Linked DNA regions of Stegostoma tigrinum. The protein of the gene in region 1 binds, or shares a complex with, the protein of each later gene. Links are inferred from orthologs where the notes say so. Each region holds a gene or a part of one and is shown on either strand. Other genes may lie near its edges. The genes, in order: smc2, ncaph2, ncaph and ncapg.

Region 1 (7,214 bases):
GTAAATGTTTTGAGTCAACCCAAGATTTTTTAAAAATAAAGGTGCTGCGTAATTGCAGTTTAACTAACCAGTGTTTTATGTAATTTAGCTCCCCTTCCCACTCCCTTGGCAGCATGTCCATTCTGGGCCTCCTCCAGTATCACAATGAGGCCACAGGAGCATTGGAGGAAGAACACCTTATATTCCACCTTGGGAATTTACAATCCAATGGCTTCAACATAGAAGTCATGAGCTTCAAAAGTCTCCCCACCCCTGGCTTCATCCCATGTCCAGCCCTCCCTCTCATTCCTGCGTCCTTGACTTGACACAACCTGTTCTTCTTACTTCTCACCGATCCGCTCCACCCTTCCAATTGACCAAACTCTACATCCCCTACCTGCATTCACCTAACACCAGCCCACCTGCCTTTATCTATTTCTGAGCTCCCTTTCCCCAGTCCTGATGAAGGGTCCAGATCCAAAACTTTCATGTTCACCTGATGCTGCGTGACCTGCTGTGTTCTTCCAGCTCCACACTGTATTGACTATGACTTCCAACACCGTATTTCAATTTTCAGTCATTTATGTTTTGGACCACTTGAAATAAAGGCCAGCATCTCAGCTGGTCCCAATTATTTCAACAGAACAGCTCGGAACTTAAACTGGGATTATTTAACAACCTATTTGTTTGCCTTACTATCATAACTTTTTAATAGCTGGCTCATTTTATTCTATAAAATCCAGACCAATTTTCATTTAGAATGGATACTGACAATTTCCACTTTTGTGAAATATTTGGCTTTCAATCCCTAACAAAACCACTTGTGCCTGAAGTTAAGAATCCTTGTACCAGCTACAACAGATGGGAATCCCAAAATGTGACAATAAAGATAAAAAGAAAATTCCCACTAGATATTGTGCCATATATTTTGCACGCAAAGATTCCCTCATGGTACTATGAACATCCCAGTTAAGGTCTGGTAGGATATATTGGCTTAATCATTTTGAGAATGTTATTTCTAGAACATAACTTCAATTTATCTGTAGTCTTTTCCCTCCCGAAAGAATGGCATTATTTGCTATATCAATCTTTGTTGAAGTACATTATGCTACAGCGTAAAATATCACAGGGGTAGGCGATGGCCTAGTGGTATTATCACTAGACTGTTAATCCAGGAACCCAGCTAATGTTCTAGGGACCCGGGTTCAAATCTCACCATGGCATATGGTGGAATTTGAATATAATAAACATAAACTGGAATTAAGCATCTACTGATCACCATGAAAACATTGTCAATTGTCGGAAAAACCTATCAGGGAAGGAAATCTAACGTCCTTACCTGGTCTGGCTCCAGACCCACAGCAATATGGTTGACTCTCAACTGCCCTCTGAAATGGTCTAGCAAGCCATTCAGTTGTACCAATCATGACAAAGTCTCAAAGAAATGAAACTGGACAGATCACCTGGCATTGACCTAGGCATTGGAACAGACAAAGGCAGAAACAGCCCTAACGATCCTGCAAAGTCCTCCTTGCTAACATCTGGGGGCTAGTGCCAAAATTGGGAGAGCTGTCTCACAGACTAGTTAAGCAACAGCATGACATAGTTATACTCACAGAAGCATACATTACAGACAATGTCCCAGACACCACCATCAACATCCCTGGATACATCCTGTCTCACTGGCAGGACAGACCCAGCAGAGGTGGCAGCACAGAGGTATGCAGTCGAGAGGGAGTTGCTTTTGGAGTCCTCAACATTGACTCTGGACCCCATGAAGTCTTATAGCTTCAGGTCAAACATGGGCAAGGCCTCCTGCTGATTACCACATACTGTCCTCCCTCAGCTGATGAATCGGTACCGCCTCCATGTTGAACAGCAGTTGGAGGAAGCACTGACGATGGCAAAGGCACAAAATGTACTGTGATTGGGGGATTTCAATGTCCACCACCAAGAGCAGCAGTACTACTGATTGAGCTAGTCAGGTCCTAATGGACATAGCTATTAGATTGGGTCTGTGGCAGGCAGTGAGGAAATCAATGAGAGAAAAAAACATACATGACCTCATCCTTACCAACCTGCCAGCTGCAGCTGATCTATCCATGACAGTATCAGTAAGAGTGGCCATCACACAGTCCTTGTGCAGATGAAGTCCCACCTTCACATTGAGAATAACCTCCATCACATTGTGTAGCACTATCACCATGATAAATAGGACAGACTTCACACAGATCCAGCAACTCAAGATTGGGCATCCACGTGGCGCTGCTGGCCAACAACAGCGGCAGAATTGTACACCAGCACAATCTGTCACCTCATGGCCTAACATATCCCCACTCAACCATTACAATCAAAAAGATCAACCCTGATTCAAAGAAGAGTGCAAGAAGGTATGCCAAGAGCAGCACCAGGCATAGTTGAAGATGAGGTGTCAACCTGTGAAGCCATCAAACAGGATAACTTGCATGTCAAACAGCATAAGCAGCAAGTGATAGACAGAGCTAAGCGATCCCACAACCAAAGGATCAGACCTAAGCTCTGCAGTCCTATCACATCCAAGAGGAGGAGGGTCCATAAATATCAAGCAATAGTTTTACCCCTTTTATATATTCCTTAAAGCCAATCTTTTTTCTCGGTGCATTTGGTTACTTGACCCGATATGGCTGTATGGAATTCTTCCACAAACAGCAAATTATTCACTTTAAATTTGGTGATGATATGCTTTTTTAGCCAATAATATTATTATATGTGGAAGAGATGGGTTAAAGGAATTGAGGATAGATCAGCCATTATCCCATTAAATGTCAGAAGAGGCTCACATTATTATTTCAATGTTGAAGTGATTAATAAGAGTTTAAGGCGACACCAGATAGACATTAAGGCAAGAAGATTATAAGGATATATTGACAAGGTGAAGATAAAGATGAGAGGGAGGAGGCTCATAGAGTCATTACAGCAAAACAGGCATTCAGCCCAATGAGTCTGTGCAGCTTTGCAAAGTTTATATCCCCCAATGACCATGACAACTTCCAGCACCCTTGGGAGCAGGGATTCAAGACTACTCAATAATTGTGTTAAAAGCAAACATTCTTTCTCACATCCCCGTGGATATTTTTTGCCTAAAGCCTTAAAATGGTATGCCCTTATATCATTCGCAGATGTGAGATTTGCTTTATCTTCAACCTGTCAAATCTCAGCTTTTGTGCTCCTAAGATGCTGCTTGGCCTGCTGTGTTCATCCAGCCCCACACTTTGTTATCTTGGATTCTCCAACATCTGCAGTTCCTATTATCTCTGATCTCAAATCTCCCCTTGATGCCCTTTGCTTGAAGTAGAACAACAGATGTTCTTCCGATCTGACATACTCGCTAAATTCCCTTATTCCTGGAATCATTCTTGCAAACCTGCTCTGCACCCTCACATACTTCCCGAAATGTCGTTACTGGAGCTGAATGCTCTATTATTACTTATATACAAGCAGCAGATCACAGACATTGGGCTGAATGGCCTGGTTCAATGTTATACCTTAAAGGAACCAAGGTACCTGGATATTCACCTGAAGTGGTGTAACCTGCAAGGTTCTGGATCAGGTACTGGAAAGTGGCATGATCATGGGTAGCTAGTTTTTTTTTCAGCAGAGACACAAGGGGCTGAATGGTCTCCTTCTGTGCCGTAATGTTTTGATGGTTCAGTGGAACTTAGGACTCAGCAGGCCATTCAAACTTGTTCTGCCGTTCAATAAGATCATGACTGAACGCCACTTCTTTCATCTGAGTCCAATGGGTTGCGAAATGGTTGTTAAGTCTAACCAATCTGCAGAGTTTACCACACTCGGGACAGGTTTTACTTGATGGGTCGGGCAGACAGAAATGTTTGAGGGGGAGGTTTGAACACTCGCTGGAACGCATCGACTTCACCTCGGCGTGCTGCTAAGGAGGCCACTTTACGGGTCTGGGGCCTTACCGAGTGAGGGTCTCACGTTTGGAGGGGGATGACATTTCAAAGGCCTCTGTCACCCGCGGGTGGGACCACGTGATTTAGGGCGTGAAGACGTGGCCCCTTTAAGAGAAACCGCAGGGTTCTGCCCCGCATGGCAGGAACGTCATCGAAAGGCGCCTGCCGTCTCTAAATCGTCAATTTTCCACAAATCGTTAATTATTCTCCAAACGCCAGGAATCCGCCGCAATAATTACATTAATCTTGAGCTGCTGCGTTTTCTGTCTTAAAATTGCATGGCGGTACTGAGGTGAAAGCGCCACTGAACCAACTGAGGCCATTGAACTAACGGTCAGGGATTGGCGCCAAAATTTAAACTGCTGGGAGGCAACCGGAGCTCTCCGAGTTGCAGTGAAATTCCGGATTTAGTTTAATTTAACACGGTGAAGGAAAATGTATATAAAATCCATCATCATCGACGGCTTCAAGTCTTACGCGCAACGGACGGAGATTAACGGCTTCGATCCGCTCTTTAATGCTATTACCGGCCTAAACGGCAGCGGCAAGTCCAACATCTTAGACTCCATCTGCTTCCTCCTCGGCATCAGTAACTTGTCCCAGGTTCGACAGGGAAGTGGGGGGAAGATGGGGATCGCAAGTTAGGAGGAGAAGGGGGCGATCGGAGAAGGTGTAGGATGTGAAGGGTTCAGTGCGGCCCAAGGGACTTTAGGTGGTGAGAGAAAAGATTTTTAAAAAATGGGGGTTCAGAGGAGGAAGGGAAGGGGGTGATGGTGTTGGAAGATTGAGTTGAGGAAGTGAAATAGTGGTGATGGTGTAAAGTTGTGCGAAGGAAGGGGACAAAGGAGGTTGCTTTGGGGAGGGGGATGGAAGTGGGTCATGGAGATATACAACACAGAAACATCCTTCGGTCTAACTCGTCCGCATTAATTTAGTCCCATTTGTCAGCATTTGGCCCGTCTCCCTCCGAAAACACTTTCTATTCATTCAGCTGCCTTTTAAATGGAAACTGCGGATGCCGTAAATGAGAAACAAAAATAGAAGTTGCTGGAAGAGATCAGCATCTGTGAAGAGAAATCAGAAATGGGCAGTTCTGAGGAAGGGTCACCGGTCTCGAAACGTTAGCTCTGATTTCCCTTCACAGATGCTGCCAGACCTGCTGAGCTTTTACAGCAGCTTCTGTTTTTGTGCCTTCTAAATGTTGTAATTGTACCAGCCTCTTCCACCTCCACTGGAAGCTCATTGCATACATTCATCACCCTCTGTGTGCAAAAAGTTATCCCTGAGGTCTATTTTAAATCTTGCCCCTCTCACTTTAAATCTATGCCCTTTAGTTTTGGACTCAACTACCTAGGGAAAACACCTTGACTATACACCCTATTCATGTTCCTTTTTTTAAAAACCTCTATAAGATCACCCATCATCCTCCAATGTTTCAGGGAAAATAGTCTCACCCTATTCTGCCTTTCCCAATAACTGCAACCATGGTACCATCCTTGTAAATCTTTTCTGAACCCTTTCAAGTTTCACAACTTCTTTCCTACATCAGGGATACCAGTATTGCAAAAGTGGCCTAACCAATGTCTTGTACAGCCGCAACTCTCTTACCCAATGCTCTGACCAATAAAAAACAGGATATCAAACACCTTCTTCACTATTCTATCCACCTGGGACTCCACTTTCAAGGAACTATGAACCTGCACTCCAAGGCATCTTTGTTCAGTAACGCTGCCCAGGACTGTACCATTTAAGTGTATAAATACTACCCCCAATTTGCTTTTCCAAAATGCAGTATTTCATGTTTACCTAAATTAAACTCTGTCTGCCACTCCTTGGCCCAGTAGCTCATCTAATCAAGATCCTGTTGTACTCTGAGGTAACCATCTTTGTTGTCCATACATTTAAAATTTTGATGTAATCTGCAAACTTACTAACCGCACCTTGTACATTCACATCTATATCAGAGGAGAGTAGTATATTGTTGCTGAGAGCGGGGGAAGGAAGGACTGGAGTGATCTTTAAGAAATATTAAGAAACCATTTAAGAAATATTCACTTTGGTAGAAAAATTAAATGTGAAGTAACAACATTTTCCCACATGATGTTCCATCTGTGGTGACCTTGTCCACTCAGCTTGTCTAAATCTCTGCATCCCCTTCCCATTTATATTCCCATCTAGTTTGTGTCAACAGCAAATTTCAGTGTCCATCGAATTATTGATGTAGACTATGAAATCTGGGACCCATGCACTGATCGTGGTAGTACTAGTCACCTCCCGCAACCAGAAAATGATCAGTTTGATTTTGTTCCGTGTTCTGTATGTCAATCATTCCTCAATCTTTGCCGGTATATTCCTTCAAACTGATGTGATCTCATTTGGATTCCTAACCTCCTTAATGGCACCTTATTAACAGCCTTCTGAAGATCCAAATACACTCTGTCTATTCTGCGAATTACATCCTCGATAAAATCTTAACTAGTTTGTCAAAAAGATTTCCTTTTCATAAATCCATGTTAACTCAGAATCCTAATAGTATTTTCTAAGCCCAATTATCTTTGAGATTCCAATGTTCTTTTTACTATTGATATTAGGCTACTATTTAATTGGAAATCAATATAATGCTTCAGACATTTTGGGTTTTGGAGTATTTTAATGCTAATTTTCATTGCAACCTTGTTTTGTTGTCTGCTGTTAGGTGCGAGCCAGCAACCTGCAGGATTTGGTCTACAAAAATGGGCAAGCAGGGATTACAAAAGCCACTGTCTCAATTACCTTTGATAACTCTGACAAAAAACAAAGTCCTCTGGGCTTTGAGACTCATGATGAAATTACTGTCTCGAGACAGGTACTCTGCAACATTTCTATCGTATTTAATATTCCACAATGTTAACAATGAAAACTTCTTCAGAAGAGTCTCTTCCTGACTCTTCTGTCTTATGCCTTTTGAACTGGATACTGGTCCATTTTGTATTCTCACCCCTGCAAACTGGGATTGATTCTCAGCGGGTGAAGCAAATATGGCACAAGTTAAGGTCATATAGTGTCATATAGGATAATAGTTTGTTCTTCCTCGGTTGTGGAATCAGAGCTGATGCTCTCTGCACACTCTTGTAATGCCAGGGAGGTTCTTGTGCAAAGTTGTTACGACTAGGTGAGATGGTGAGAATTTTTTATTTCAACCTCCCTGGTTGGTCACACTAAAGCTTTGTGGTTTTTTTTAGCATGAGGCTATTATCTTTTTTCCCGTTAAAATAGTAAGCAGTACATCATAAGACTTTCTTC
Region 2 (8,204 bases), on another chromosome or scaffold:
ACATCGATCAGTCCACAGCTTTCGGCTTCCACTATTAACAACCATTGCAAACTTTTTAAGCATGCCCTCTAGAGTTACTCTAAATCAGTGATTTATAACACAAAAAACGAGCAATTTAACACTGAGACCTATGGAACATAGCTGGAAAAACCTTTCCAGTCACAAAAAAACATGGATCATTGTCTTTTGTTTCCTGCCCAAAGGCAATTTTGAATCTCATGGTTTTTACTTTCGAGGCTACTTTGCATTAAAACTTGTCAAAAGCCTTCCCAAAATTAATCAGTTGTGCCACTTTCTCAAAAAAAATTCAGCAAAGTTAAATAGACTTATCCTTTCCTAAACACATTTCTGCTGTCTTAAATAAATGTGCCGTTAAATGACAATTTATATCGTGCCTCAAAACTTTCCCTAATAAATTGCATTGGGTTTAGGATGGGCTGTCTGTAAGTACTTGATCAATCCTTTTCTCCCTGTTTAAACAAGGTAGAACCTTGACAGCCCTATATTTGTAACCAAAAAGACTGGAATTATTGCAGTCAGATCCACCTTAACTTTCTCAATTGCTTCTCCCAGCAGCCTATAATGTACATAATTCAGACCCAGTTATTTACTGACTTTCAAAGATTCCACTGCTCTTAAAGTTTCCTCTCTATGTTTATTCTGTTCAATATTTTATATTCTGTAACTATGAAATCACTTCCTTTATTTTGTGGAGGCGAATGCAAGTTATTAATTAAGAACCATACCCTTGATTTTGGCCTCTACACACATTATACCTTTCTAGTCTCTATACGGCCCTACACTTTTGGCTATCTGTATAGCCTTTATGTATTTCTGGGAAAAAAGTGTTTCAGTGAAACTATATGTATTGACAAACTAGCTTTGATGATTCTCTCATTTTGCTTTTCAAATGTCCTGTCTAGGTTTGCTCCTGCCCTTTCTACATATCCCTCAGTTACTGCGTTACTGGTTCTTAGCTGTTGCATGCTGTTTCACATTGAGGGAAGCCTGTATTTGGAACTCCTAAACCTTATCTCTACAGGAGTACATTTATGCCAAATATTCTGTCTCCTTCATGTATGCCTCTCATTGTTCTGACACTGGTTCATCCTTGAGTAGCTGTTTCCAGTCTTTGCCAAAGCACATCTCACAACTTTTACTTTTGTGGCTACTTTGCATTAGAAGCTTGTCAAAAGCATCCAAAATCAATCAGCTGTGCTACTTCCTCAAAAAAAATTCAGTGAAGTTAATAACTGTAGAAACATTGGTCTCAGGATAAGATCACTGAAGAATGTCATTTCGTGTATGTGCATGGTTTCTGAACAATCATATTACCTAGTGACATTTCCCAGTGTTCTGTGTAAACCTCCTGCACATCATTCCTTTGCAAAATAATAAAACTCACTTTTTGAATATCTTGTTTCAAACTTCCTCCACCACTCTCCAGTCCATTCCAGGCCCTAACACTGTACTATGTGCAAAAGCTTTTCCTCGTAATTTTCTTGGCTGAACAATTACTTCAATCTATACCTTTTATTTCTTGGTCATTTCAGGAGAAACAGTTTCTTCCTATCAATTCTATTCAGACACATCTAAATTTTGAGTGCCTTTATCAGACCTCCTCTCATCCTTCTCTTGGCCAAAGGAAGGAGCCCCAACTTCTTCAATGTATCTTTACGACTAAAATTAATTTCCCTAGAACTAACCTTGTAAGTCTCAGCCCTCTACAATGCCTTCACATCCTTCCTGAAAAGTTAAACTGCCATTGTCCTGGAGGACCACAGGACTGCTCTCTCATGATAGAGACAAGACTGGTAACGAATTTAACCTGAAGATCAACATGTCTCAGGCAATGAGAGAGGTTGACAAGTTGGGGCCTTCATGTTAACCTTGCTTGTGTGCAAATGAACCCACGCTACTGGGGTCACTCTGCACTGTAAGCCAGCTGTCCAGCCAACTGAGCTAACCAACCTCATTCTTTCTAAACTGTGACACCAGAAACTGTCACAGTAATCCAACTGAGGCCAAACTATGCAAGTTCAATGCAATCTCAAGTAAAAGCAAAATATTAAAGATGCAGGAAATCTGAAATAAAAACAAAGTGCTGGAGAAACTGAGCAGATCCAGCAGCATCATTGCAGGAACAGAGTAAATATTTTCAAATCAAAGATTACAAAGGGACATTGATAGGATGCAGAGATAGGCTGAGAAGTGGCAGATGGAGTTTAACCCTTAAAAGTGTGAGGTGATTCTTTTGGAAGGACAAACTTGAAAGCAGAATAAAAGGGTTAATGGAAAGATTCTTGGTAGTGTGGAGGAGCAGAGGAATCTTGGGGTTCACGCTGGCAGTTCCCTGAAAGCTGCGACCCAGGTGGATACAGTTGTTAAGAAGGCATATGGTGTGTTAGCTTTCATTAAGAGAGGGATCGAGTTCAAGAGCTGCAAAGTTATGGTCCAGCTATACAAAAGCTTGGTTCGGCCACATCTGGCATATTACGTCCAGTTCTGGTTGCCTCAGTACAGGAAAGATGCAGAAGCGTTGGAAAAAGTGCTGAGAAGATTTACCAGGTTGTTGCCTGGAATGGAGGGAAGGTCTTAGGAGAAAAGGCCGAGAGAGCCAGGGCTTTCCTCTTTAGAACGACGACGGATGAGAGGTGACTTGATAGAGGTATACAAAATGATCAGAGGCATAGATAAAGTGGACAACCAGAGACTTTTTCCTAGGGTGCAGGTAGCTGTTACAAGGGGGCATAGTTTCAAAGTGAGTGGAGTAGAATGCATTGCCAGACAGGGTAGTGGAGTCGGTCTCATTAGGGGCATTTAAGTGGCTATTAGATGGGCATATGGATGATAGTGTAAGGTAGGGGTGCAAGTTAGATAGAGCTTAGGATTAGGGTAAAAGTTCAGCACAATATTACAGGCCCTTCGGCCCACACTGTGCTGTAAAAAAAATACTGTACTCCAAACGTTTCTCTTTCCACAAATATTGAGGAGTTTCACCATCTGACTTGCTGATTTCAATATAATTTCCTGGCTGTATATCCATGTTAAAAGCCTTTATCACACCTGAAATTGGCCAGTGACAAAAAATTCAAGGAAAGGGAGTGGACAATGTGAAAAAAGAAAAATGTTACTTTTAGGATCTGCAATAGTTATGTTTTGAAAGTCCTTCTGACATCATCTTAATGGGAACGGCACACAGCCTCAGCTAAACAGCCCAATCACAGTCCCATACTGGCAAACAGCTCTCTTCCAATCACAGCTGCCATCTTATCAGAATGGAGTTCAACTGATCCTACGATTCAGAATTTCACCCTTGCAGGTGAAGCACAACATTCTGACTGCTGGCCTGTTGTTCTCACTGGTAGATGATTCAGGAAAAACTGTGCATTCAAATGAAAACTTCAAATCCACACACGCACACGCGTTAAAAAATTACAGACAGAAGTGATAGAGATAGAAGATGCTTGGCCTGCTGTGTTCATCTAGCCGTACACCTCGTTATCCCATGAGAGAGAATATGTTGCTTGTCCAACATGACTCTCATTGGACTCAACGTTTTTGTATTACTCTCTGCAAGGTACTGCCACACCTGGTTTTCTTCAGCACTTTGTCTTTACTTGGGAAGCTTAAGCTTCCCTGGAAAGAAATGTGATGGAGAGAGAGAGAGAGAGCACTCACGATGTTCAGAAACATGGAAATAAAACGCCTAGCAGGTTTCTTCTTTAATAAAAGTCATGGGGTGGTGGCTTTTCTGTTCGGACTAGCATTTATTGCCCATCATCTTCAGGGTAACTAGGAATGATGCTGAGCTGCCTTCTTGAACCTCAATAGGGGAGGGTTCACAGTATGGAATGGTTTCAATGAACTGACTGCAATGGTCATTTCCTAAACATTATTCCCTCCATACATAGCACACAATTCAAGTCTCGCACCAAAATAACCATGCAATCTGAAGCAAACTCGCACCAAACTCGAAACGTTACTTCAAACTCCCTCTCTCTCCCCCCACACGCTGCCAGATCTGCTGAGTTTCTCCAGCATTCTGTGTTTGTTTTAGCTTTACAGCATCTGCAGTGTGTTGCCGTTAACTATAGAGTGGCTCTGCTACACCAGAGTCCCCAGATCAAAGTCTAAACTGCACCACTTCATAAACACAAAAATGCACTCTGTCAACATTAACAGCAACAACTCTTTCCAAACTGCCAGCCAACGCTAACTCACACGGTGCTGTTTTGGAAATAAACGATGTGTTCCACTTCAGTCGGTTTCCTTCCATTAACCACACCTCTCCCTTCTCCATGAGGCTCCTTTACCCAACTCCCGCCAACTGACTACACTCTTCACCGAGGCAGAGCTTTTAAAACCCAGAATATCAGTGTCATCACTATTACCTGGGATCTGTACATAAAGCGAGGTGAATGCACACAAGTAAATAGCATTCGTGCCCCAGAGGAAAGCTGCCCGCGACAACACAATCTCCCCCATTCCGAGCTGCAGGCCTGGACATAACCACTCTCATCACCGCAAAGGGGGGGGGGGAGGTGGTCAACAGCTTCGATCCATAACGATTCCATTATAATAGCTCACAATATAACTCAGACTGAGTCGCGCTTTGAAATAATAACCACATTTTGAAATATATAACCAGATTATCCACGGTGTTTTTTTTTACTTTAAGAAGTTTCTAAAGTTACTATTCCCTGTTCCCGGAATGGATTGCTCTTAATCGTTACCGTCTTTCTGCATTTGCAGCCTGTACCATCATGGCAGAAGGGGAGATCATCTCTAAACATCTGAAAAAAAAACAAAACAAAGTAATAATTTCAAATTAAAATTTAAACCCGCGTTAAAAATTTAGCGATCTGGTTTTATTGTGATGGAAATTCTTTCAAACTCTGTTTTCTTGCCTCTTACTAGTAGACTAATGATTGAGTCCGTGTCGCGCGCATGCGCATTCTGTGGTTTGTACCTGCGCGGGAAAAACAAAAAATGGCGCTGGCCTAAAAACGGGTAAAATAAAACAATCAGAGAAAAGAAGGGAATATTCAGAGAAAATAGGGGAATATTTTGAGAACTGGATTTATAATAATCGTGCTTGAGAAATGTGGAACGTAGCTAGATACGGTTCTTCGGTGGGGGGTGAGTCTCGGCTTGTCAGTGTCAGTTCGAATCTCCTTTTGTTAAATATAGTTTCTTTCAGATTTCTGTGATTGTATTCTTGTTCGTTACAGTTTCTTGTGTTCTGGTTTTGAAGAACGGCCCACTTCAATCATTTACTAATTTCTTCCCTACAGTGTCTGATTGAACCACTTCTGTTTACTGCAGTTACTGGTTTACTTCTTGGCGGCAACAGAAATCAACTTGTCTTTAATAATATGATGTAACAGAAAAATAAAACGTGTGAAATATATTGGAATGGACCATTGTTATTTATTGCAAAGGGCTTTGGTGCGCAAACGTTGGGAAATGTCATTATAGTTGTTCGGCCCTTGGTGAAACCAGGTGTCGTAGACAGTTTGGTCACCTGAAGAAATAATGTAATCGTATTGGAAGCGCAGAGAAGGTTGAATCGATTGATTTCTGAAATGAGGAAAATATGGGCAGGTAGGGCTCGTGTACCTTGGAGTTCAGAAGAATTAGAGCGTATATTGTTAAAATATGTAAGGTACTGAAGGCAATGGGCAGGATGAATGGTGGCAGGACGAGAGAGATTCGGACTAGGAAACAATTTTAAAGTGAGAGGTTTCCCATTTAAAATGGAGATTGATGAGAATTATTTTCCTGAGCAGGCCATTAATTTGTAAGAGCAGTGGAGGCATGGTCATTGAACATTTTTAAGGGTGTGTTAAATATATTCTTGACTGAAAAGAAAGTGATGTTTTAAAAGGATGTCAGAGATAGCAAAGTGTGAAGCTGGATGAACACAGCAGGCCAAGCAGCATCTCAGGAGCACAAAAGCTGACGTTTTGGCTGTGCTCCTGAGATGTTGCTTGGCCAGCTGTGTTCATCCAGCTTCACACTCTGTTATCTTGGATTCTCCAGCATCTGCAGTTCCCATTATCTCTTCTTTTAAAAGGATGTCGCTTGGGCTGTAAGGTTTGAGTTATAGGGAGAGGCTGAATAGGGTGGAGTACTGAAGGCTGAGGGGTAACCTCTTAGAGGTTTGTCAAATCATTAGAGGTCCAGTTAGGTGAATAGCCAAAGTCTTTTTCCAAGGGTGGGGGAGTCCAAATCCAGACGACATAGGTTTTAAGCTGAAAGAGCATTGATTTTTAAAAAGGATCTGAGGGGTGACCACTTCACGCAAAGTGTGTATGCAACAAGCTGTTAGAGAAAGTGGTGGAGGTGTGTACAATTGCAACATTTAAAAGGGATTTGATTGGGTGAATGCATGGTTTGGAGGGTTATGGGTTAAATGCTGACAAACGGGTCCAGGCCAGATTAGGGTGTCTAGGTAGCACAGACTAGTAGGACCGAAGGGTCTGTTTCAGAGCCGTATGACTCCATTAATCAAATGGTGTAGGGGTAGATAGGAGCAGGTACAGGGTGCTGAATCACCTACTCCTGCTCTTAATATGAATGTCTGTGGAACAGCTCTTCAAGGTCAGAATTCAGGACGTCAGAAAAACTGATGTCACAATAATCAGTTTATTTAATTCTGTTGTGTAACCTTAATTGTTATTGTATTATCATTATCTGAGTAATGTACTTGGATGAGACACTATTGCCTCAATAATGAGGACTTATTTAAGTGATTAAAGTAATTCCCAATAGACTTTTTGTTTGCTGTATAAACCGTAATTTCATGGCCTCAGACATTGGTAGCAAATTACTGACTATTGTACTCCAGGAATAGGGTTGGAACCGAGCTGCGTTTTCCCCATGTATTATTTCTCATTTTTTCTGTTAGGATCTCTGCCTGAGGTAGTGTTGACTAGATGAAACAGTGTGTGATGTGTTTTAAAGCTTTGAAATAACAACATTATTTTTAACCCTTCTTTCCCAATCATGCCTCCTCTTCCTCCAACCCATGTTTTTGTTGCTCTTTCTGTAGTAATGATTTCTTGGTTCGATGATTAGTGGCTTTTTGCTTTGTTCCCTATATGCTTTGATTATGTATTCCTTTTAAATGAACATCTTGCCCAATTAAAGAGATGTTTAAAAATTCTTTTAAAGGTTTTGCAAACAGATTGTTTACAGTCTGTTGCTGATGTTGTGGGATTTGATTTGATTTGATTTATTATTGTCACATATGACATACAGTGAAATATATTGTTTTGTGTGTGAGACAGGCAAATCATATCCTACATAAAGTACATTCAAATGCTAGAACAGAATACGAATATAGTGTTACAGGCTTAGAAAAGTTGCAGAGAAAGAACAAGTTTAATACATAAAAGGTCTGTTCAAAAGTCTGCTAATGGATGATATCAGTTCATCCACATGAACATGACAAAAAAGGACAAGGAATTTGTATTTAGCTTTTTAATTGTGGAGGTAGACTTTCTTTTGAATTCAAGGAGGCTGAAGTCTAGAAAATAAGAAGATTATGACTTGTTATTTTGCTTGTGGTTTGTGATCTTGTCTCCGAGCCTGTGACCTAAAGACCCTAAATGTGAGGGGCAAATAACTTCCATCCTGACACTTACTGAGACACAGTTAGCCATGATGTCTGAGCCAGTGGCTGTCACATTCAGTTTACTGTTTATACCAAGCCTCCAGGAACCAATAATAACGGAAGTTGGGACTAAGTGTTCTGACTCTAAACATATGTGACAGAGTTTTGAACCCATACCTGGATACTGCTCGACTACCACCAACTATCTGGAGTCTGTCTTCACGATTCACCAAGGAAGGAAATAGCAATAGTTTATGAAGCATCCCTAGATTTCAGAGTTTCCGTCTGAAACCATGATTGGAGATGAAAGTGCTGTTCATGTAGAGGATAAACACCAACACAATTGACTGCGCTAGATGGACCTATTTGAGTTCTAATCCTGCGTATCTTATAGTTTGTGCTTTTATAAGCACCTTCCTGTCAGGTACCTATCTAAATTCCTGTCGGAAGGAATCCTCTTCATTACATTTTAATGTTTGATATGACCATTGTCAGCCCTGTTAGTTGATTTTGTCATACGATGAAAATTGTATTTTTTCACTTTGTGAGAATAGCAAACAAAAAGGAAATTTCTGTTTTATAC
Region 3 (7,300 bases), on another chromosome or scaffold:
TGTACCTAAAGTTGGCGAATCTACTACCGTTGCAGGCAAAGCGTTCCATTCCCTTACTACTCTGAGTAAAGAAACCACCTCTGACATCTGTCCTATATCTTTCACCCCTCAATTTAAAGCTATGCCCCCTTGTGCTCGCCATCACAATACTAGGAAAAAGGCTCTCCCTATCCACCCTTGACAGTCGTTGTATATGTGGTAATAACTAACTGAATCTTCTTTGGACTGCCTTCAATGCCAGTATATCTTTCTTGAGCTAAGGGACACAAAACTGTGTTCCAGCTGTGGTCTGACTCATGCCTTGCATATATAAGCACAATCTTGCTACCTTTATACTCTATTCCTTTTGCAGTAAAGAACACCAACATTCCATTTAACCATCCTGCCTGATCATATCTAAATCTGCCTGATGGATGCATTTCTAACTGCTCTGGTGTTACTGCCTCTATAATAGCCTCTAACATTTTCTCAATAACCTATAAATTTAACTGGCCTCAAGTTTTTTTTTGCCTCCATTTCTTCTTAAATAATGGCATTACGTTGGCAGTTTTCTAATTCTTTGAGACTTTTCCAGAATCAAAGGATTCTTAGAAGATTACTCCCCACACATCCACTATCTCTGTAGCTTCTTCCTTCAGTACCCAATGACACATTCCAGCAGGTCTATATTTGACGCAACGGTACAAGAAGCACGTGTCCATTCCAATTTTCAACAAATTTGACATTGTAAAGAAAAAACTGAGTCTGTTATGAATTCAGAACAACTGTCAACATCCACTTACATTTTCAGAACATAGTTTGATGCAGGTAGAATAGTGTTCAGATATCTGATTATTTGACAGTTTGGGTTCAAAGGATTGTGGGGTCCCCCTGCAACAATCAATGACAATCAGAATCAATTATTTTGAAGGTCAAAAGCAACTTGTCCACAGCTCAGCATTCAAACAAACCCAGAGTCAAGAATTCTGACACATCACACCAACAAAAGTAGCAACCTGTAATGTTAATTAGGAAGGCCTTTGGACAATACTCAGGGTTCAGAAGCAGCACAGAAGAAAAGCAGAAGCAGAGTTCACTCTGGAGCAATGATACACAAATACATGCTAAGTGACATGAGAATGAAACAGTGCAATGAAACCTACCTTTGCACTGGGGATACCAAAGGGCTCTCTGTGCCACTTAGTTGCAAGTCTGTCACTTTTGAGCGCCTTCTCTCTCTCCTTTCACGTTCATCATCATTTGCTGCAACATCCATTTTTACAGAGGACTTTAGAGTCTGAACAGCCTGTCGCTTCGTAGCTGGAGAAATAAACTTGTGGTCAGAAGACCCCACTTGAGAAACTGAGATCAAAGAATCCATTTTGCCCTGTGACAAACAAATACAACAAAAGACCATTCAAGCAAAAGAGCAATAAAAAGCTGTAGTCATGGAATCAATAGTTTCCACTTTTCCCCACATCTGTCTGACCTGTTCAAGACTTCATGATCTGTCTTGGGAAACCACGATCTGGCCTTCTCCTCCAAAATTCCAGTGTGCTTACGTAGATGGTTGAGCCATGAAAGCACATTTACCATTATTTCTCCTTCTAATGTATATTTAAATGGCTTTTAACATACCAACCTGACTCCTTCACATAGGAGTTCTGAGTAAGGGTCACCGGACACAAAACGTTAACTCTGATTTTTCCTTCACAGACGCTGCCAGACTTGCTGAGCTTTTCCAGTAACTTTGTTTTTGTTCCTGTTTTACAGCATCTGCAGATCTTCGGTTTGCTTTACAGCCATTCATGTCACCTTCAGCGTGCCTCATCCAGCCAAATAAACCACTTTAATCTCTTCACTCAAGTTTCACGCTCAGCTACTATGTGACCATCGAATCCCCACGGTGTGGGCACCGGCCCTTCGGCCCAAAAAGTCCACAGAGACCGCTGATCATCCCACCCAGACTCATTCCCCCTATTACCCACCTAATCGACGTATCCTTGAACACTGCAGGGATGAAAACCACCTAGCCTACACGTCTTTGGGCTGTAGGAAGAAAGCGGAGTACCCGGGGATAATGTGCAAACTCCACACAGACAGACGCCCGAGGGTGGAATTGAACCCGAGGCCCTGTCAGACAACAGAGAACCACTGAGCCACAGTGCCGCCTTAATTACTGCCATTACGGTGAAGCATTTTTGATCTACTTATCGTCGTCACGATTTTCATTCATCTATTATCTTTCGACAGTCGCAGACGTCTCTGCAACCGGAACCCCTGACGCCAAGCAACGCAGTTGCTAATAGGAACCTTAAGTGAACTGAGACCTGACTACAATGACAGGAATTGCTGGAAAAACTCAGCAGGTCGGACAGCATCTGTCGAAAGAATGTTTACAGTCCAGTGACCCTTCTTCAGAATCTCCAACCGTGTTGAAGGAGGATTACAGGACACCCAACTCTGATTTCTCTCTACGGATGCTGCCAGATCTGTTAAGTTTCTGCAGCAATTTGTGTTTTTGGTTCAACTTTCCCAACATTCGTAGTTCATGGCTTTATTTACGAGAATTTGGTAATTTGCTGCAATCAGGCAGAGCTATTTATCATTTCTTTCGTGGGTCTGTTGATTTGTGTAGGGATTGCCGCAGTATTGAACCAAGAACTTCTCAACGAAAGCAGGAAGGCGTGTCAGCCAGAACTTGGGGACACGGGCCAGCGCGATTGAATTTCCACAATCCCGGTCCAACTCAGCTTGGATTGACCGACCACTCACCCTGTCCGCCGGGTGTCGGTTGAAAACATTCACACCCACTCTGTTCAGATGTTAAAGGATGGCGTACGTGTATGTTTCCGAGAGATTTGGGTTGCGATTGCGGCCTAACTTTTTCCGCCCGCTCTAATGCAATAAGCGAACAATGAAAAAAAAACACAATCTCCAGGCCTCCTCAAATCGTCCTGGCTCGCACTGACCTGAGTGATCGAGATGTCCGAATTTCTTCAACGTCGCTGTATCCGACCCCGCGGTTGGAGAGGGAAGATGACGGCCGGGATCTCGCTCCGTTCTGCCGTTACTTCAATCGGAATTCAAACTTTCCCGCGGCTCGATAGTGCGCACGCGCGGCTCGCTGGGTGTTCCCGGGGATGCGACGCTCCGCGCACGCGCAACACGCCGGGAAAGGGGAGGTTGTCGCTCTGCGCACGCGCAGTGCCTTATGTGTATGCCCTCTTGCAACGAGTGGAGTGAACCGTCAGCCTTTTCGGAAAAACGGATTATCAGCAAAACTGACAGAAATCCGTGGACACACACCGAAGAGTGCCTTTGCCTGAATTTCTCCGATCTTCACAGTGTTCGTCTCATGATCATTCCTGAAAGATGACTGTGAACGAAGAAAGCCGTTCGGCCCCTCTTCAAACGTCACGTCAGACCTCACATTTCCAAGTGCAGTTGTTTCTTCAGTAATTCCAGAGGTTTCTTTGGCTGCGGGGGAAAAAAATCTCCAATGCCGCATCTGAGAATTCCAGGCCTTTTATCAAATACAATGTGAGAAGACTTTCCGGCCTGCAGCAAAAGCGAGAAAGTGATAGATGTGGATTAACCGTGGTTTTATTGACAGGCACAACAGACTTGTGCTTTGAATGCTCCTCAGTTTTTATTTGTCCTTTTATAAATTAGACTCTGGAGGTGACTGATCAATTTGCAACTTTTCTTTGCGCTTACTTCAGTGTATGAATGCTTCTCTCATGCCTCATTGATTGTATTGACCACACTGACAAAACTGGTACAGCACAATGTAATAAAATGTGAGGCTGGATGAACACAGCAGGCCAAGCAGCATCTCAGGAGCACAAAAGCTGACGTTTTGGGCCTAGACCCTTCATCAGAGTCTAGGCCTGAAACGTCAGCTTTTGTGCTCCTGAGATGCTGCTTGGCCTGCTGTGTTCATCCAGCCTCACATTTTATTATCTTGGATTCTCCAGCATCTGCAGTTCCCATTATCTCTGGTACAGCACAATGGTTTGGTCACAGGTTCTTTGACTGGTGTTAAAAACCAAAATAACTTGTGACAAGTTGACACATGGAGATTCATCAAGAAGACTAGAACCCATGGGATCCAGTGCAGTTTGACAAATTGGATTCAAAGGTTGGCTTCATGGCAGGAAGCTGAGGATGATGGTCAAGGCATGTTCTTGTGACTGGGGTGAGTCCAATGAGCAGAACAGTGACAAATGGGAATTGATTTAGAAAACAGTGAGCTGATGCATTTGGGGAAGACTGCTATGCCTCCGAGGTTCACACCATACTGTAGGACCGAAGGACATTCAGAGGCACCTTGTTTCCCTTATCCAAAGATCTTTGAATGCAACATGATAGGTGAACAAGATTGTGAAGAAGTCATATGGCATAATTACATCAAGAGCAAGGAGCTTGTTCTGGAGCTGTATATAACATTACAGAGGCTGCAGCTTGAGGACTGTATGCAGTCCTGTCGCACAGTATATAGGATGCATGTGATTGTTCTCAAGAGTACATTCACCAGGATGTTTGCTGGGTTCCAGTGTTTCAACAATGAAGAGAGACTAGATAGGCTTTACAGATAGTAGGAACTGCCGATGCTGGAGAATCCGACATAACATGGTGTGAGGCTGGATGAACACAGCAGGCCAAGTAGCATCAGAGGAGCAGGAAAGCTTGACATTTCAGGTCGGGACCCTTCTTCAAAAATTTCTGAAAGATCCCGACCTGAAATGTCAAGCTTTCCTGCTCCTCTGATGCTGCTTGGCCTGCTGTGTTCATCCAGCCTCACACCATGTTATCCCAGATAGGCTTAAGTTGCTTCCTTGACGTTTGAGAGGGTTGAGTCACATACTTGATTGAAATCTACAAAATTTGGAGGGACATAGGAAGTAACCTTTGTTTTTAGTAGAGAGGTCAGTAACCAGGAGGCAAAGATTCAAGGCAAGGAGCAGAAGCTATAGAGGGGATTCAAGGAAGAATTTTTTTTCTCACAGTGGGAGGTGGATATCCAGAACTCATTGCCTGAAAGGATGGTAGGAGTGGAAACTGTTGCAACATTGAAGAAGATTTTTGATGAACACTTGAAATGCCTTGGCAGACAAGCTGAGGGGGGAAGTGCTGTAAAATGGGCCTAGAGTAGATAGGTGATCAACATGACACAATGGGCCAAAGGGCCTCTTTCCATTAACTCACCATGACTTGGGGTGCCAGTGTTGGACTAGAGTGGATAAAGTCAGAAGTCACACAACACTAAGTTATAGACCAACAGGTTTATTTGAGATCACAGGCTTACAGGGCGCTGCTCCTTCGTCACGTTCGACTTCACCTGAAACAAGGAGCAGTGCTGAATAAGTTTGTGATTTCAAATTAACCTGTTGGACTATAACCAGATTTTGTGTGAATTCTGCCTTCATTGACTAGGAAACAAGAAAACAGGCCGTCTTAGACTGGGTATAATGTCATGAAAAATGCATACTTGGTCAAGCAGTTGTGAAAGACCTCTTCAGGATGAGCAACCCGTAATGAGCAACCGGGTTTTCTTATCACGACGGAGAGTGAGGTATTTGGTGCTAAGACTCAGGTCCTGAATTTTTAATGAGGGAAACTACAGTGGTAGGAGTTAACTTTGATTGATTGGGAAATGTTACTGCAAGGAGTGACAGAGGATAGACAGTGGCAAACATTCAAAGTGCAAATGGGAAAACAACAAAAACTTGTTTCTGTCTGGCACAAGAGTGCAAAAGAACACTGGCAACACCATGGTTTACAAGGGAAGTTAGAGATAGTATGAGTTGGGGGAAAAAAAAAGAAACATACAAATTGGCAAGAAAAATAAATCTCCTGGAGGATTGGGAATAGTTTAGAAGTTAACAAAGAAGGACCAAGGCATTGATTAAGAGGGGGAAGTAGAGTGAGAGTCAGCTTGTGGAAAACGGAAGAACTGACTGACAACGTTTCTGTAAAGAGAAAAAGATTAGTGAAAACTGATGTAGGTCACTTACAGTCAGAAACAGACGTTATTAAAATGGGGAACAAGAAATAGCTGATAAATTAAATTCACACTTCATTTATGTTGTCATAAAGGAGGACACAAATAATTTGGATTTAGTGAGAAGGAGGAACTAAAGTGAATCCCTATTAGTGGAGAAATAGTTTTGGAGAAATTGATGGAATTGAAGGCTGGTAAATCCTAAGGTCTGAGAATCTCTGTACCAGAGTATTTATGAAAGTAGCCTTCAAAATATCAGATGCATTGGCAGTCATCTTCCAAGATTTTTTTAACTGTGGAATAGTTCTTAGAGGTTGTAGAGTAGCCAATGTAACCCCACCTTTTGATAAGACAGAGGAACGTAACACAAATTTCTGGACCAGCGATTCTGACATTGTCATGGAGAAGGTGCAGAAGTCCATTGACAGTGAATTCATTGCAGAGCACTTGGAAATCACTCAATGTTCTTACTATCAAGGGAATGCAGTGAATATTGGCCAAACTGATTCTTGCAGTGGCAGGACTGACATAGGAGAAGAGATTGTGTTGGTTTGGATTCTATTAACTGGGGTTTGGAAGAATGGTGGGGTGGGGGGAATCTCATAGAAAATTTAAACAGAATTTGACAGATTAGATGCAGGAAGGATGTTGCCATTGGTGAGGGAGTCCAGAATCAGGAGTCATAGTTTAAAGATGAGAGTAAACCATTTTAGGAGTGAAATGAGGAAAATTTCTTTACTTGGAGACTGGTGAGCCTGTGGAATTCACAATGACGTTGAGTGGTTGAGGCCAAAACATTGTATATTTTCAAGGATTTCATGTTGCTCTTGTCCAAAGAAATTAAGGGATGTGGAGAGAAGGAGGGATCAGTCATGATCATATATATGACAGAGCAAGCTCGAGGGGTCAACTGGCCTCCCCCTGCTCCTATCTTCTATATTTCTGGCTTCTAAAACCCAATGACGTTCTATTGCTACTCGTAATGTGTGTGGACCTGTTGTACTTACTTAGAACCCCTACAGTGTGGAAACAGGCCCTTCAGCCCAACAAGTCCACACCCTCTGAGCATCGTGCTCAGACCTATCCCCCTAGAATCCACCTAATCTACACATCCCTGAACACTATGGGCGATTTAGTAAGGCCAATACACTTAGCCTGTACATCTTTGGACTATGGGAGAAAACTGGAGCACCTGGAGGAAACCCACACAGATGCAGGGAGAATGTGCACATTCCACAGAGACAGCCGCCCAAGGGTGAAATTGAACCCAGGCCTCTGTCGCTGTGAGGAAGCAGTGCTCACCACTGAGCCACT
Region 4 (7,813 bases), on another chromosome or scaffold:
CAGTGAGCCTTACTTCGGTTGTGAGTAAAGTGTTGGAGAGGATTAAAAGAGATAGGATTTATAATAATATAAAAAGCAATAATTTGATTGGGGTAGTTAACATGTTTTTGTGAAGGGTAGGTCGTGTCTCAGTAAAGCGTTTGATAAGGTTCCCCATGGTAGGCTATTGCAGAAAATACGGAGGCATGGGATTGAGGGTGATTTAGCAGTTTGGATCAGAAATTGGGATAAAAGGCTCTTTTTCAGAATGGCAACCAGTGACGAGTCGTGTCCTGCAGGGTTAAGTGTTGGGGCCACAGCTGTTCACCTTATATATTAATGATCTGGAAGAAGGCTCTGGCGGCATTCTGGTGAAGTTTGCCGATGATACAAAGATAGATGGACAGGCAGGTCATACTGAGGAGGTGGGGAAGCTGCAGAAAGATTTAGATAGTTTAGGAGAGTGGTCCAGGAAATGGCTGATGAAATTCAATTTGAGTAAATGTGAGGTTTTGCACTTTGGAAAAAGGAATACAGGCATGGACTATTTTCTAAATGGTGAGAAAATTTGCAAAGCGGAAGTACAAAGGGATCTGGGAGTGTTGGTCCAGGATTCTCTAAAGGTTAACTTGCAGGTAGAGTCCGTAATTAAGAAAGCGAATGTAATGTTGTTTGCTCAAGAGGGTTGGAATATAAAACCAAATCTCCCCTTCCCCCACCGCATCCCAAAACCAGCCCAGCCTGTCTCTGCCTGCCTAACCTGTTCTTCCTCTCACCCATCCCTTCCTCCCACCCCAAGCCACATCTCCATTTCCTACCTACTAACCTCATCCCACCTCCTTGATCTGTCCGTCTTCCCTGGACTGACCTATCCCCTCCCTACCTCCCCACCTATACTCTCCTCTCCACCTATCTTCTTTTCTCTCCATCTTCGGTCCGCCTCCCCCTCGCTCCCTATTTATTCCAGAACCCAGATTCCATCCCCCTCTCTGATGAAGGATCTAGGCCCGAAACATCAGCTGTTGTGCTCCTGAGATGCTGCTTGGCCTGCTGTGTTCATCCAGCTTCACACTTTGTTGTCTTGGATTCTCCAGCATCAGCAGTTCCTATTACCTCTGATATAAAAGCAGTGATGTGCTACTGAGGCTTTATAAAGCTCTAGCTAGGCTCCATTTAGAATACAGTGTCCAATTTTGGGCCCCACACCTCAGGAAGGACATACTAGTCCTGGAGCGTGTTCAGCGGAGATTCACATGGATGATCCCTGAAATGGTAGGTTTAACGTATGATGAACAGCTAAGGATCCTGGGATTGTACTCATTAGAGTTTAGAAGGTTGAGGGGAGATCTAATAGAAACTTACAAGATAATGTATGGTTTAGAAGGGGTGGACGCTAGGAAGTTGTTTCCGTTAGGCGGGGAGACTAGGACCCGTGGGCACAGCCTTAAAATTAGTGGGGGTAAATTTGAAATGGAAATGAGGAGACATTTCTTCAGCCACAGAGTGGTGGGCTTGTGGAATTCATTGTCATGGAGTGCGGTGGAGTCCGGTACGTTGGATGCCTTCAAGGCAGAGATTGACAAATTCTTGATCTCAGAAGGAATCAAGGTCTACGGGGAGAGTGCAGGGAAGTGGAGTTGAAATGCCCATCAGCCATGATTTAAATGGTGGAGTGGACTTGATGGTCCGAATGGCCTTACTTCCACTCCTATGTCTTATGGTCTAAACCTTATTGGGTTCTTTGAGAAGGCGACCAAACAGGTGGATGAGGGTAAAGCAGTTGATGTGGTGTATATGGATTTCAGTAAAGCATTTGATAATGTTCCCCATGGTAGGCTATTGCAGAAAATATGGAGGCATGGGATTGAGGGTGATTTAGCAGTTTGGATCAGAAATTGGCAAGCTGTAAGAAGGCAAACGGTGGTGGTTGATAGGAAATGTTCCTCCTGGAGTTCAGTTACTAGTGGTGTACCGCTAGGATCTGTTTTGGGGCCACTGCTATTTGTCAGAGGGCGTAGAAGGATGGGTTAGTAAATTTGTGGATGAAATTAAAGTCGGTGGAGTTGTGGATAGTGCGGAAGGATGTTGCAGGTTACAGAGCGACATAGCTAAGCTGCAGAACTGGGCTGAGAGGTGGCAAATGGAGTTTAATGCGGAAAGGTGTGAGGTAATTCACTTTGGAAGGAGTAACAGGAATACAGAGTACTGGGCTAATGATAAGACGCTTGGTAGTGTGGATGAGCAGAGAGATCTCTGTGTCCCTGTGCATAGATCCCTGAAAGGGTCCACCCAGGTTGATAGGGTAGGGTTGTTAAGAAGGCATACGGTGTGTTAGGTTTTTTTGGTAGCGGGATTGAGTTTCGGAGTCAAGAGGTCATGTTGCAGCTGTACAAAATTCTGATGTGGCCACACTTGGAGTATTGCGTACTGTTCTGGTCGCCGCTTTATAGGAAGGATGTGGAAGCATTGGAAAGGGTGCAGAGGAGATTTACCAGGATGTTGCCTGGTATGGAGGGAAGGTCTTATGAGGAAATGCTGAGGGACTTGAGGCATTTTTCGTTAGAGAGAAGAAGGTTAAGAGGTGACCTAATAGAGACATACAAGATGATCAGAGGATTAGATAGGGTGGATAGTGAGAGCCTTTTTCCTCGGATGGCTAGCACAAGGGGACATAGCTTTAAGTTGAGCGGTGATAGACATAGGATAGATGTCAGAGTTGGGTTCTTTACTCAGGGAGTAGTGAGGGTGTGGAATGTTTATCCAATGACCATATAAATGCCCTTAAACTTGGCGAGTCTACTGCTGTTGCAAACAAGATATGAATAAACAAGATATTTTTGAGCTGACAGGCTATAACCAGTTGTGAAATGCAAGGATCTGTATTTGAAACTTAGCTGTTCACAGTCTATATTAATAACTTAAGATGATGGGCTGATTTTATAACATTCTAATTTGCAAATGATCCAAAATTAGCTGGGAAATAATCAGTGAGAAGTGCATTAGAGTTTGTAGGGGATATGGTAACATTGGCTGCATGGACAAAAGGGAAAAAAAGACTTTCAATTATTTTAGCACTTCATGTCCATTGACATGTCAAAATCTGAATTATTTTGAATTATAGTTGCTGCTATAATGTAGTAAATATAGCAGCCAGGTTACACATAATGAATTCACAAACAGTAATGTGATAATAACCAGCTAGTCTTCTTTTTGTGACAAAAACAGAAAATGCTGGAGGAACTCAGAAGATCTGACATCTGTGGAGAAAAAGCAGAGTTAATGTTTTGGATCCAGTAACCCTGCTTCAGAACTGATTGAAGTTAGGAAAAGGTTGGCATAAAAGTGGAAGGTGGAATGGGGATAGGAAGAAATGATAGATGGAGATGGAGTCCAGAGAGAGAGAGAATAGCAATTGGGCAGAAAAAGGAATGGGCAAATGGCCAGCCTGGGAGAATCCTTGGCTGCTAATGGGACTATTAATAGCTGACAATGGGTTGGTTGTGGCAGCAGCCCATGTGTTAATAAAGCCTGCTATTTTGGGGAGTTCAGTGAAGAACACGGAAGTAGGTGTTCAGGCCCTAAAATTATTGAACATTTTTATATCAAGCACGGAAGGGGGGCGGCATGGTGGCTTGGTGGTTAGCACAGCTGCCTCACAGTACCAGGGACCCAGGTTCAATTCCATGCTTGGGCAACTGTGTGTGGAGTTTGCACATTTTCCCCATGGTGCATGGTTTCCTCCAGGTGCTCTGGTTTTCTCCCACAGTCTAAAGATGTGCAGGCTAGGTGGATTGGCCATGCTAAATTTCCCATCGTGTTCAGGGATGTGTAGATCAGGTGGGTTGTACAGGGATGGGTCTGGGTGGTCTCTGAGGGTCAGTGTGAACTTGTTGGGCCAAAGGGAATGAGAAGAAAATGAAACTTTGCTCTTCCAGTTTGTGCTGAACTTCTCTTTGTGATGTTGGTTGGTGCTTAAATGAGGGCCAGAACTCCACAGATAGTTCTTCTGCTTTTCTTTGAAATAATGCCATGGGACCCTTTACTGTACATGCGGGAAGATGGGACCTTGAGTTAAGATTTCATCTGGAAGATGGTGCCTCCAACACTGAAGTGCTCCTTCAGTGCTGCACTAGACTGTCAGCCTTCATTTTTGTGCTGAAGCCAGAACCTTATGGGTAGAGTGGTACCAGCTTCTCCATGGCTAACATATAAAAACAAGATGGTGATGGGAACATCGATCCGTATGCAATCCATAGTAGCAGATTCGTTTTTTTCTAATCGACCAAAAATTCCATTATATCCATAAACATGGCTGATATCTCTATTAAAAAAATTGTGTAGCTACTTGTGAAAATAAAAACTACACTTTCTTGGTGCTCATTAATAACTACTGATGAATAAATAGTGAGTTGTGCTTTTGTTTTCTTGTCTAAGTCCTCAATTTTGTTAAGCATTGCTCAAAACTTCATTGAGTAAAATGACTTTAATCTTTTCCGATTGAGGGAAACAGTACATTCATAGTGATCTAAATATGTTAACTGGCTAGGAGTTGTCTCCATTTGGAAGTGTCTCCGAATAAACAGCAACAGACATCCCAAATTAGACCATGGATCGAGCCACAATCACATTGAACTACGGCAGACGCTGGAAGGATAAATATCCCCACTAAGCCCGCCCGTTCATAGCCACACCCCCCTCATAGCCACGCCCCGGCATCGGGAGACCCGCCAGGCCCGCCCCCTGCGGTGCCTGCGCTTAGATCACCATCTCGCGAGAGGCAGTTTGAAATTTCTGGCGGTTGTTGTTGGCGGTTCGCGCTGAGAGCGGGTAAACAAAAAGGGGGCTGCTTTGTGGCAGAGCGGACTCGAGAGAATCATAGACAGCTAGAGAGGTGAGACCGCGGGGGCGGGGATTATCGGGGAAGGCTGAGGCTGGGGAGTAGTTGATGGGATGGGGAGGGGGGTGAGGGCTGTCGGTGGCGGGGAGGTGTGGGCAGGCGGGAATGGGGAACCGAAGGTGAGTCTGAGGTGGGGTTGGGGGCGATTGGGCAGATGTAGTTCCGACAGGGTTGGGTGGTGGGATGAGTGATCATCAGTGTCAAAGATTAGGCAGGATATTTTTAGTCCTAGGTCTTGTGTTTTCTGTCTGGCTTCAGTGAGGAGGATCACTGAAGATCTTATAGGAATTTATGACTCACATCCCTGCCTTCGTGACTCATCACAGTGATGCTTTGAAAACTTGGAGCAAGCCTATCTTCACAGTAGCAACACTGACTAGGACATCTCCAACTGTTGGGCCGTCCATTCCAATCTGATGCCATACGTTGTCACTTCACTAGTAGTTGGAAGATCTGCTGTTTGATTCAAAGTTGCTCCTAGTTAATACTTTTTCTAAATTGCACAAATCCTCAATGCTTATCTCACACAGGACTGGTGGGGACATTTGTCCCGTGGAGCGGCATGGTGGCTCAGTGGTTAGCACTGCTGTGTCACAGCTCCAGGGACCTGGGTTTTGTGTGGAGTTTGCAGATTCTCCCTGTGTCTGTGTGGGTTTCCTCCCACAGTCCAATGATGTCCAGGTTAAGCGAAATAGCCATGCTAAATTGCCCATAGTGTCTGGGGGATATGTAGGTGAGGTAGAATAAGCAAGGGAAATGCAGAGTTACAACAATGGGGTAGGATGGGACAGGTCCAAATGGGATCCCCTTCGGAGAGTCGGTGTGGACTCGATGGACAGAATAACCAGCTTCCGTGCTGTAGGGATTCTATGATTCTTCATATTCACAACTGAACAAAACTTTTTAACCGTTGGAATTATAACTGCTTTGAAAGATCCTGTTGGACAGTAATTTATGATTCATTAAATTTATATTGTCTGTTTCAGATTTTTTTCCATATAAATGGGTACACAAAAAAATCAAATGCTCCAAATACAACAAGCCTTTGAAAAGGCCCAGAAAGGACATCAAAATCTTGCAAAGTTGGTGGCAGGTCTTAAACAAATATACAATCAGGTACAGTGAATTGCATAGTATTTAGACAAGACTGCAGTATATCAAATTTCCTTACCAGAAATTGTATCAGAGATAATGGGAACTGCAGATGCTGGAGAATCCGCGATAACAAAGTGTGGATCTGGATGAACACAGCAGGCCAAGCAGCATCTTAGGAGCACAAAAGCTGACGTTTCGGGCCTAGCCTTCATCAGAAAAGGGAGATGGGGAGAGTGTTCTGAAATAAATAGGGAGGGGGGGTGCGGATCGAAGATGGATAGAGGAGAAAATAGGTGGAGAGCAGACAGACAAGTTAAAGGGGTGGGGTGGAGCCTGTAGAGGTGAGTGTCAGTGGGGAGTGGGTATGTCAGTCTGGGGAGGACAGACAGGTCTAGGGAGTGGGATGAGGTTAGTAGGTAGGAAATGGAGGTGTGGCTTGAGGTGGCAGGAGAGGTAGGTGAGAGGAAGAACAGGTTAGGGAGGTGGGAACAAGCTGGACTGGTTTTGGGATGCAGTGGAGGGAGGGGAGATTTTGAAGCTTGTGAAATCCACATTGATACTATTGGGCTGCAAGGTTCCCAAGCAGAATATGAGTTGCTGTTCCTGCACCCTTTGGGAGGCATCGTTGTGGCACTGCAGGAGGCCCAGGGTGGACAAGTTGTCTAAGGAATGGGAGAGGGCATTGAAATCGTTCGCGACTGGGCTGTTTATTGTGAACCGAGTGTAGATGCTCTGCAAAACAGTCCCCAAGCCTCCGCTTGGTTTCCGCGACGTAGAGGAGGCCACAACCGGTACAGCGGATGCAGTATACCACATTGGCAGATGCACAGGTGAATGCATCATCCTCCGACACTTCCGCCATCTACAACCCGACCCCACCACCAAAGACATTTTTCCCTCCCCACCCTTGTCTGCTTTCTGGAGGGACCATTCTCTCCGTGACTTCCTTGTCCGCTCCACACTCCCCTCGACCTCCTCCACACCTGGCACTTTCCCCTGAAACCACAGGAACTGCTACATTTGTCCCGACACCTCCTCCCTTACCCCCATCCCAGGCCCCAAGAAGACTTCCCACATCAAGCAGAGTTCACCTGCACATCTGCCAATGTGGTATACTGCATCTGCTGTACCTGTTGTGGCTCCCTCTGCATCGGGGAAACCAAGTAGAGGCTTGGGGACCGCTTTGCAGAACATCTACGCTCGGTTGGCAATAAACAACTGCACCTACCAATCGTGAACCATTTCAACGCCCCCTCCCATTCCTTAGATGACATGTCCATCCTGGGCCTCCTGCAGTGCCACAACGATGCCACCCAAAGGGTGCAGGAACAGCAACTCATATTCCGCTTGGGAACCCTGAGGCCCAATGGTATCAAGTGGATTTTACAAGCTTCAAAATCTCCCCTCCCTCCATTGCATCCCAAAACCAGCCCAGCTCATCCCTGCCTCCCTAACCTGTTCTTCCTCTCTCGTATCCCTTCCTCCCACCTCAAGCTGCACCTCCATTTTCTACCTACTAACGTCATCCCGCCCCCTTGACTGCTTGACCTGTACGTCCTCCCTGGACTGACCTATCCCCTCCCCACCTACACACACCTCTACAGGCTCCATCCTCGACCCTTTAACTTGTCTGTCTGCTCTCCACCTATCTTCTCTATCCATCTTCGATCCGCCTCCCCCTTTCTCCCTATTTATTTCAGAACCTTCTCCCCATCTCCCTTTTCTGATGATGATTCTCGGCCTGAAACATCAGCTTTTGTGCTCCTAAGATGCTGCTTGGCCTGCTGTGTTTATCCACCTCCGCACTTTGTTAACCAGAAATTGTATTTGTTGCATTTCAAG

Evidence for each region.
Region 2: the proteins of smc2 (region 1) and ncaph2 are in contact, whole or in part, in a cryo-EM structure (PDB 9F5W), measured with the Homo sapiens proteins. The link is inferred for Stegostoma tigrinum from reciprocal best matches to the Homo sapiens genes SMC2 and NCAPH2. Residues at the interface, in NP_001036015.1 of Homo sapiens: Leu93, Thr125, Gln128, Asp129, Cys132, Gly135, Leu136, Asn137, Met173, Tyr174, Lys177, Lys178; in NP_689512.2 of Homo sapiens: Glu46, Phe53, Ile54, Glu55, Leu58, Leu59, Gly62, Ser63, Ala64, Cys65, Val66, Lys69, Tyr73.
Region 3: smc2 (region 1) and ncaph share a complex: the UniProt entries of both Homo sapiens proteins name them as parts of the condensin complex. The link is inferred for Stegostoma tigrinum from reciprocal best matches to the Homo sapiens genes SMC2 and NCAPH.
Region 4: smc2 (region 1) and ncapg share a complex: the UniProt entries of both Homo sapiens proteins name them as parts of the condensin complex. The link is inferred for Stegostoma tigrinum from reciprocal best matches to the Homo sapiens genes SMC2 and NCAPG.

The regions. Positions count from the first base shown.
Region 1 is NC_081356.1:31,468,051-31,475,264, reverse strand, and holds the start of smc2 (structural maintenance of chromosomes protein 2), read left to right. Parts: upstream 1-4,010; 5' UTR 4,011-4,367; coding exon 4,368-4,535; intron 4,536-6,627; coding exon 6,628-6,777; intron 6,778-7,214. UniProt on the Homo sapiens protein: Central component of the condensin complex, a complex required for conversion of interphase chromatin into mitotic-like condense chromosomes.
Region 2 is NC_081378.1:21,665,584-21,673,787, reverse strand, and holds the start of ncaph2 (condensin-2 complex subunit H2), read left to right. Parts: upstream 1-4,977; 5' UTR 4,978-5,142; intron 5,143-5,587; exon of another isoform or gene 5,588-5,607; intron 5,608-5,720; exon of another isoform or gene 5,721-5,738; intron 5,739-8,204. Other genes in the region: lmf2a (lipase maturation factor 2a), read right to left, coding at 4,395-4,488. UniProt on the Homo sapiens protein: Regulatory subunit of the condensin-2 complex, a complex that seems to provide chromosomes with an additional level of organization and rigidity and in establishing mitotic chromosome architecture.
Region 3 is NC_081393.1:10,353,435-10,360,734, forward strand, and holds the start of ncaph (condensin complex subunit 2), read right to left. Parts: upstream 3,072-7,300; 5' UTR 2,952-3,071; intron 1,367-2,951; 5' UTR 1,361-1,366; coding exon 1,143-1,360; intron 871-1,142; coding exon 783-870; intron 1-782. UniProt on the Homo sapiens protein: Regulatory subunit of the condensin complex, a complex required for conversion of interphase chromatin into mitotic-like condense chromosomes.
Region 4 is NC_081354.1:83,711,900-83,719,712, forward strand, and holds the start of ncapg (condensin complex subunit 3), read left to right. Parts: upstream 1-4,757; 5' UTR 4,758-4,870; intron 4,871-5,862; 5' UTR 5,863-5,878; coding exon 5,879-5,992; intron 5,993-7,813. UniProt on the Homo sapiens protein: Regulatory subunit of the condensin complex, a complex required for conversion of interphase chromatin into mitotic-like condense chromosomes.